Linked DNA regions of Nothobranchius furzeri. The protein of the gene in region 2 binds, or shares a complex with, the protein of the main gene of each other region. Links are inferred from orthologs where the notes say so. Each region holds a gene or a part of one and is shown on either strand. Other genes may lie near its edges.

What was found. Proteins that work in one complex are often made in the same cells at the same time.
Region 1: the proteins of rab35b (region 2) and acap2b are in contact, whole or in part, in a crystal structure (PDB 6IF3), measured with the Homo sapiens proteins. The link is inferred for Nothobranchius furzeri from reciprocal best matches to the Homo sapiens genes RAB35 and ACAP2. Residues at the interface, in NP_006852.1 of Homo sapiens: Arg3, Asp4, Tyr5, Leu8, Ile41, Gly42, Val43, Asp44, Phe45, Ile47, Lys58, Gln60, Trp62, Phe70, Arg71, Thr72, Ile73, Thr76, Arg79; in NP_036419.3 of Homo sapiens: Val715, Ala718, Asn719, Ala720, Asp721, Val723, Thr724, Arg727, Leu728, Arg730, Met731, Glu734, Met735, Ser738, Glu748, Thr749, Gln751, Arg755, Asp756, Gln759, Met760.

The regions. Positions count from the first base shown.
Region 1 is NC_091748.1:61,555,029-61,558,467, reverse strand, and holds the end of acap2b (arf-GAP with coiled-coil, ANK repeat and PH domain-containing protein 2), read left to right. Parts: coding exon 1-16; intron 17-2,413; coding exon 2,414-2,517; 3' UTR 2,518-2,744; downstream 2,745-3,439. UniProt on the Homo sapiens protein: GTPase-activating protein (GAP) for ADP ribosylation factor 6 (ARF6). Doesn't show GAP activity for RAB35.
Region 2 is NC_091757.1:28,062,520-28,067,165, reverse strand, and holds the start of rab35b (ras-related protein Rab-35b), read right to left. Parts: upstream 2,984-4,646; 5' UTR 2,755-2,983; coding exon 2,703-2,754; intron 938-2,702; coding exon 887-937; intron 763-886; coding exon 639-762; intron 1-638. UniProt on the Homo sapiens protein: The small GTPases Rab are key regulators of intracellular membrane trafficking, from the formation of transport vesicles to their fusion with membranes.

The sequences.
Region 1 (3,439 bases), on a different chromosome or scaffold from region 2:
CCCTACAACCCATCAGGTCATTATAACTCCGACAGCCCTACGGAGATGCAGTACAGGAAGTGCATGCAGGAGTTCATTAGCCTGCAGCTGGAAGAATCCGATTAGATGCTGCAGAGTCTGCCTGAGTTCACTTAGATTACATCAAACAACACATAGAAAGGCAGTTTTTTTCTCTTAATGAGACCTTCTGTTGACTGTATTGACTGACAGTGAAGTCTGCAGGTGTTTCTGCTCAGTCCTGTAAGGCGCTGCGCAGCATTAATGTGGCAGGATAAAAGCCATCCAATCTGATCTACTGTTAGATCTCTTCCTTTAGCACAAAACTGAAAGAGTAACTAGATTTATTTTTCAAGTGTAAAGTTTACAACTGTATGTACTTGTTTCTTTTAGAGGGTTAATTTCTATCAGCTGTCAGGGAATTGTTTTAACACTAATAGTATCTAGACTAAAACCGCTCCCAGTATTCAGACCTGTTTCATCAAAGCTTCTGGCAATAATCAAGACTTCTGAATGACAAGATGCGTGGTGTGTCTATAAATCATTTAGTTTTAGATCGATTGGTTTTTTTAATGCACCAAGGAAAATATGCACATTCCTGATGATGGTTATGCAACAACTTCTTTCTTCTAACTGAACACTTCTCGTTTTCAGTCTTAATTTCCTTCAGGGCTTGTTTACTTGTTTTATTGATCAAACTTCTATTCTGTTTTTACTTGCTTGGTCAGAATATATATTTTAGAGCTGTTTTCTAAAAATAACTATGAGCTGTATTATAGATTTCCTATTGTACCTGCTGTAAATGATGTTTAATATATTTGCTTCTAGTCTGACGGACAGAATGAGCAGACTGGCTTCACAGGGATCGGCAGCGTGAGGGTTTCAGTCTTACCTGAAAGTGTTTACTTGTGTCGGTTTAGTGTGCTCGCTTGTTTGTAATCACATGAAATCCTAAATTGTAAGATGGAAAAACCTGTTGGTGCAATAGTTGTGATCGACTGGAATGTTACTGGATTTCAAATCGTAAGTGCAATAGTGTAGAAACGGTTTTAAGAGTGCTGAGCTTTTTTATCTTCTACTTATGTGAACCATGTGGGAGCTTTACAGAAGAGTGAGTACATTTAGATTTTCAGAGTGAATGTGGAATCATGCTGCTGACTGAAATGTTTTCCAGTTGCGTCTCAAGTTTGAAGCACTTTTATGTCTTAGAAAAGGGACAGCTCCCCCTGCTGGACAACATATATATATATATAGAGAGAGAGATGTCTGCACTTACACGTGCCAACCACTAGAGGGCTCACATCTGATGTTTAGGAATCCTGAGTGGAATAGCCTTCGTGGTCAGGTTTGAAATACTTGGACTAGAATCACAAACGATTGTTCATAATGTTTGTTTTTTGTTTTTATTAACAGCATTAGGGTGTTTGTTTTAAACGTGCAGATCTGTGTTTTTATGTTTAGAGAGTGGAATTGCTCAGCTGTGAATGGCAGGACTGATGAGGGATGTAACGAATGTAAAGGAGAACTAAACTCGTCCATCTTTACTCCTTTTTAAAAATAAAAGTCCAAAATTCCTTAGATAACGTTGTTTCAGTAAAAAAAAAAAGTGCAGCTCTGTGGTTTTCAGCTTGTTTCTGTATCCTGTGACCTGCTTTGATCTTTTGAAATGATTTCAGACCGAGACCCACTAAAGCTGAAACTTATCTCTGGTTTGTTTCCTCGCACTCCTCCCCAAAGTTTGTGCCTTTTTTTCTGTTCTGCTCTTTATTTCTTTGGGGTGTTGAGGCCAACACAACTGTATCTTTGTACATAAACTCCTGCACTTTAAACTCAATACAGTTGTTGATGAAAATCAAACGTCTGAGGGCTCTTCTTCCTGTTTCTGACTGTTCGCTGGCTTTTCTTCCACTTTCACTAGTTTCGTTCTTATTTTTACTACTCTGCATTTTTCTCTCTTATGCTTTGAGCCACTCCGACGCTCTTAACAGGTAACTCTTTTTATTTTTGTTTATTCCTGATAACACTTTCTCTGCATGAGCCTCCCAACTGGGACTCCTGGGGGGTTTAAGCCAGGGATACTCAATTCCAGGCCTGGGGGGGCCGGTATCCAGCATGTTTTAGTGGTTTCTCTGCTCCAACACACGATTAGTTGTTGAATCACCTGTGTAGCAGCTCAACAGGCTCTTGCAGAATTAATTACCTGCTGATTGAAATCAGGTGTGTGGAAACAGGGTTAAAACTAAAACGCGCTGGATGCTGGCCCTCCAGGACCAGGATTGAATACCCCTGGTTTAAGCTAACTCACCGCAGAAGTTTGTCATGTGATGTAAAAAAAGATGCAGTTATTCAGAAGAAGAAGAAATGAGATTATTTGGTGATTTTGGCAGTTGCTCATATGTGTGTTTCTTATTTCCAGGTGATGAAACCTACCAGGACATCTTCCAGGATTTCACCCACATGGCCTCGAACGACCCTGATAAACTCAACCGCTACCAGCAGTATGACGCGCAGAGACCCTGACCAGCGGCGCTCTGGTGAACATCTGGAGCGTCGTCCACCCCTGATGTGACCAAAGCTTCTCCTCATCAAGTCGTCCGAAAGGTTTAGTAGAAAACTAAAAGCACTTGGCCGAAGAGGACGACGCCCGTAGGAACGGTACAGCCGTTGAAAAGGATTCTTGTAAAGTTTTCAATCCTAAATGACAGAATGTAAAACGCTCGTCAGACGTTTCCTGCTTTAAACGTATGAAATGTGTCGGATCTGTAAAGGAAAAGCGCTCGATCAGACTCCTAAAACGACCGTTTCCTCTGTGGGATTTGTTTTAGTTTGTTAGAAAAATGCCCTCTGCAGGCCTGTACATACTTTTACTCTGGAAACAAACCTGTTATGATTCATTTGTAATTTTAGAATTTTTTATGCTTCTTTTTATACGTTTTTCTGAGAAATAATTAATTTTAAATGTTAGCATCAGCAATTTGTGTTGAAAGATTTTGGGATAATTCAGTAAGCTGTGAGTCCATCATTTCTAAATTATATTCAGCTGATTGATCCTGAGGTTGAAGCATCGTCGGTTTGTCACTAACAGCAAAAAGGATGGCATGAGACGGATAGATTATTACATCCTAGAGGGCGGGCGGGCGAGAGAAAGATAGATGGATAGAGAGATAGAGAGATAGATAGATAGATCCATCATTTCCTGTGTAGGAGGGTTTTATTGTAGCAGCAGCCTGATGCTTGTTGCTCTGCTCCTTACTCCAGTTTTACATGAATTCATAAACCATAAAGACACCTTTCCCTGGTAAACTGGATGATTTCAGCAACAGGATGATGTAAACAAACAAACATTAGATGGCCGTGCTGAAAGACCTCAAACATTTACTGAAATGATGATCTGGATGAGCAGCAAGCAAGTTCCTCACATGCAGTCAGCTTCAGTGGTGAA
Region 2 (4,646 bases):
TTGATATTAATGAGTTGTTTGGGTTCATTGAGAACATGGTTGTTGTTCAATAATAAAATTATTCCTCAAAAACACAACTTGCCTAATAATTCTGCACTCCCTGTATGAACCCATTATGTATTTTATTATTACGTTATGTGTCCTGTAGGTTTTCAGTACTTTTTTAGATTTTGTGAGTTTTTGCAAAGCGTGTTTTTCTCAGCCTGACGTGTGGCTGTTGAACGAGGAACAGATAGTTTTACTTTGTTAAATCTTCTTAAATGTTTAAAATGTTTTGTCCTAACCTGTTGTGAATGGAGAGATTTTGAGGGATGGCAGGTTGTGTCAATTACGTGTTTGATAAAAAGTAAATAAATAAAAATGAAAAGCAATTATCTGACATCTTCTATTTATCGATGAAAACAAATCAATATGAAATAATCGTGATGCATCGGGATTTCTAATCGAATTGAACCACTGACCCAATAATCGTAATCGAATCGAGAGACAAGTGAAGATTCACACCTCTAAATTCCACCCAGTCACACAGCAAAGCTCCTACTCTACGTACTCTAGCTGTCTGCAAACTCCTTCCTCTGATGCAACGGTTCCAGCTTTAATCACCCACATGAGAATGCCCCGTAAAAGAGGCTGCTTACGTGGAGGTGATGGTGCGAAAACGCTCCTGCCCCGCTGTGTCCCAGATCTGTAGCTTCACCTTCTCCCCGTTGAGCTCCACTGTTCGGATCTTAAAGTCCACGCCTATCGTGGTGATGTAGCTACCTGTGAGCAGCCATGCGAGCACAAAAAAACAGACAGAAAACAACAAAGAAGAGGAATTTGAGAGCAGGAAGTAAAGAGTAGAAAAAATGGACGTCACACCACAGCAAAAGGTGGAACCACTCACCTGAAAATGTATTGTCTGCAAATCGCAGGAGGAGACTGCTCTTTCCCACTCCTGAGAATGAAACAAGCACAAGATTACAATAAAACAAGTTTCCAACGAAGACAAACACATTTAAAAAAGTAGATGTGCTCGGTGGCACCCGCCTGGTCAACTCAAACAGAGCAGTAGGGAGCTCTGGGGAGATCTATGTCACTACTGTGAGTCAGATTTTGGTTTTACACTTTATATCTCTGCACCATCAGATGACGACAACATGTTTTAAGAGTCAACAGCGCTAATCTCTGCGTACTCAGACAGTTGGTTCTTCTACACATATTAAGTTTTACACATTACAATGAGCTGGGAGGAGTTCAGGAGAGCTGGGCTCCAAAAACATCTTCATTTGGATCTTAGCAGAGCAAAGAGAGCTGATCAAAGGTTAACAAGAGAAAAAATCTCAAAAATAATAGTCAACAGGTAAAAGTGTGCTGTCTTCAGACAGTTTGACTTCTGGTGTTTGAGCTGTCAGACGGACTCGTCTCATCTCCACACACAGGTTTGTTCCAACAACAATAACCACATCAAATGTACCACCATGTCTCTAACACCGACCTGATCGAGAGTCACTTTCTGTCCAACAAATCAAAACACTGACAACATCCTGGACTCCACACACGACTTTCACGCTCAGTGTGCAGGGCCTTCTAATGCAATGCTGTAATACATAAATGATGTACTCAGGAGGCACACGTGCGACAGGAACAACATCCCCAACCTATGATGGAGATCCAGGGCAGGGAAAATCGGAAGGTCTAGTCTTCTTCCTCCCAAGACGATCTCTGCAGAACTGATCTGCCACAATGTGACTGAGGACACTAAGGCTGTGTGTGGGATGTGATGAAGGGTGCGTAGTGCTGCCTTGTCACACAAAGTGAATAGCCAGCTGATGCGGCAGTAGTGCCAGGACTGAAGCCATCAATGGAAGCAAAGATCACTGTTGCATCAAAAGGCTTCCAGCTGGATGAGCCTTAGATGACGCAGCAATGGCTCCATAATTACACCTGCGGTCTGGATCCACCTGTGGCTTCGGGAGTTTGTCTGATGTGAAAGGATTTCACGTTAAAGGAGCAGCACTCCAGCTTTTACACTTCAGCGGCCAGCTGCACCTGATTGGGTGGCTGAAATTAACCAATTGTGAACGGCTAGCTTGCTGAGAAACAGTTTTGCAAATCAAAGGTCCACGGAGGAGCTTAGTTTCCTGCCTGCTAGCAAAACCACATCCCATGCAGCAGCTTCACCAAACCGTGCTGACTCTACAGACACATACACAAAACTCTACTACTTAGCTAAACAACTTTAAAACACCAAAGTAAATGTTTATTTAAAGCAACCAGCCTGGAGCACTGATGTTAGCCTAGCTTCCTGCTAGCTAATATTACATCGCTAATGTGGGACACAAACAGAGAAAATTAGAGAAGCGGAAGAGCTTTAACGGAGGTAATTTAGTCAAATTGTTAGTTTTTATAGAGCTAAAACCAAGTCTTCGCCTACTGGAACAAAAGTAGAGACCCTGGTGCGACAGAGCCGACGCTGTGGAGGCGCTATCCGGCCTGACATGCCCGGTCCGGTCACACAACCTCCGCCCTGTCACGGGCACTAAAACATGGCGGAGCTGTTCATTCCACTCATCGTTTTCAAGGATAAAATATGAAGCGAAGTGAGAGCCCACAGCCAGTAAACTACTCGGCCCTGCAACGCTACTCTCGCTTACCTTGTAAGAAATAAGAAAAACACAACAAGGCCCACTTCCCGTCCCACATCCCCGAAATCGGCTTACCGCTGTCACCGATGATGAGCAGCTTGAACAGGTAATCGTAGTCCCTGGCCATGCCGGTAGCTGGTGGCTATCCCCCGCCTTTTGCTGCAGCTTCGCTTAGCTTTCTGTTCCGACTCCCTTTAGACCGTAGACATTTACCAGCTCCCAGATCCCCCGGCACACGGAAAACGACTCGGTACCCGATGCTGGAGACGGTTAGACCCCGAGCCGGTGGCGTTTTTTTTCTTCGGGGTTTCGCGGCGTCAGCAATCCACCCTCCGCTGCAAACAGCCGGAAACTCCGCTTCCTTCTCTGGCGGAGCTGCGCCCAAAGGAGCCGACGTCACTGCGCATGCTCCAGCCAGAGCGCGGCAGTCCCAGCAGACTGATCACGGACCAGTCGATTCACAACACCTACAGGTGTCAAAGCCCACGTTTACCGAGAATTGTACCCAGTCGAATCATGATCCAAACACACGTCCCCTCCGATGTCACAAACAACTCCTAAAACAATCAGAATAATAAAAACGCATCCAGCTGTTGTGACTGTGTGAGATTAGTGTTTCAGATAACCAGGTAACCTCACGGGTGTGTTTAATACATCCAGCATGACATGCAACTTCTTCACAGAGTAATCCGAGTTTGTAACTTCCTCCTAATGCAAGTTTTCTTTGATCGTGTCATGCTTTATGCATCATGTCTGCTGAACCTGTCCTGTGGTCTTCAAGTCTTTGTGATTCATCGTTTTGTTGTACCAGAATCATCACTGAAAGCATCTCAAACACACGAAATCTTTATTTTGTATTGTCTTTTTACAACAGTATCCAGGATAAGTACAGTTTGTCTTATAGAAAGTTGCTTTCCACAAACAAGTCACACACAATCCAGAGACAGGGCTGATGTTTCCCTAGAGGCATCTTTAACGCTTGAAATCATTTTGATAAAATAGTCAACAAAACATGATCATATCAAAACAAATTTGGCATTTTGTCTCCCAAATACTACAGTTTAGTGCAGGATTATAACCTGCACATCACAAGATAAAAAGGAGTAAGAAACGGGGCTTAAAGGCAACTAAAACGAAGACTGAAAGTTAGAGAAAACAAAAGATACATTTGTAGGGAAAGCCCTTGTGTGTCGAGTGTGTCTGGGGTTCTCCAACTCAGGATTTGTTTTCAGTGTCAGTCAAATTTTAATCAACCTCTGCAGATTTCAGTTTACTGTCAAGTCCTTTTCAATCATGTCAAAATGGTGTCATCGATCTCTTCATTGGAGTCTGGCAGGCTGGCGATCTTCTTCAGAGACCGGCGGTGACATTCTGACAGCAGTTCATTACTAGCAGAGTCCAGAATAGCAGTCATGCTCTGTCACGTAAAAAAGGTAAGAATGAATAATAACCACAGAAATGTTATTATTGATCATGTCTGAATACAATCCCAGAGAACACAGGCTCACCTGCATGGTTTCCTCTCCTTGGCGGAGTTGTAGCAGGTTGACGATGGTGTGATCACTCTGAGCTCTGACGGTGGTGTTCTTGTCCTTGGTGTTGTCCAGCAGACTCTTCAACAGGGGCTTGATGAGGCTGGTATCCATGGGGGGCACTGACGGGTCTCTGAACACCCACCACAGCACTCGCTCTGACACCAGTCTGATGTCACTGGACTGGTTCTGAAGACACTGGGGTTGTCACACACAACATGTCACATAAAAAACTAGTATTACTTATCTCAGAAGTTTTTTCTTCTGCAACAAGACGCCCCACCCCTGGTTCAGTCCAAAATGTAAACCTAGTTTTCTAGTACTACATCCCACCAGTACAATATCCCACCAGTACTACATCCCACCAGTACAATATCCCACCAGTACTACATCCCACCAGTACAATATCCCACCAGTACAATATCCCATCAGTACAACATCCCACCAGTACTACATGCCACCAGTATTACATTCTACATGTACAACA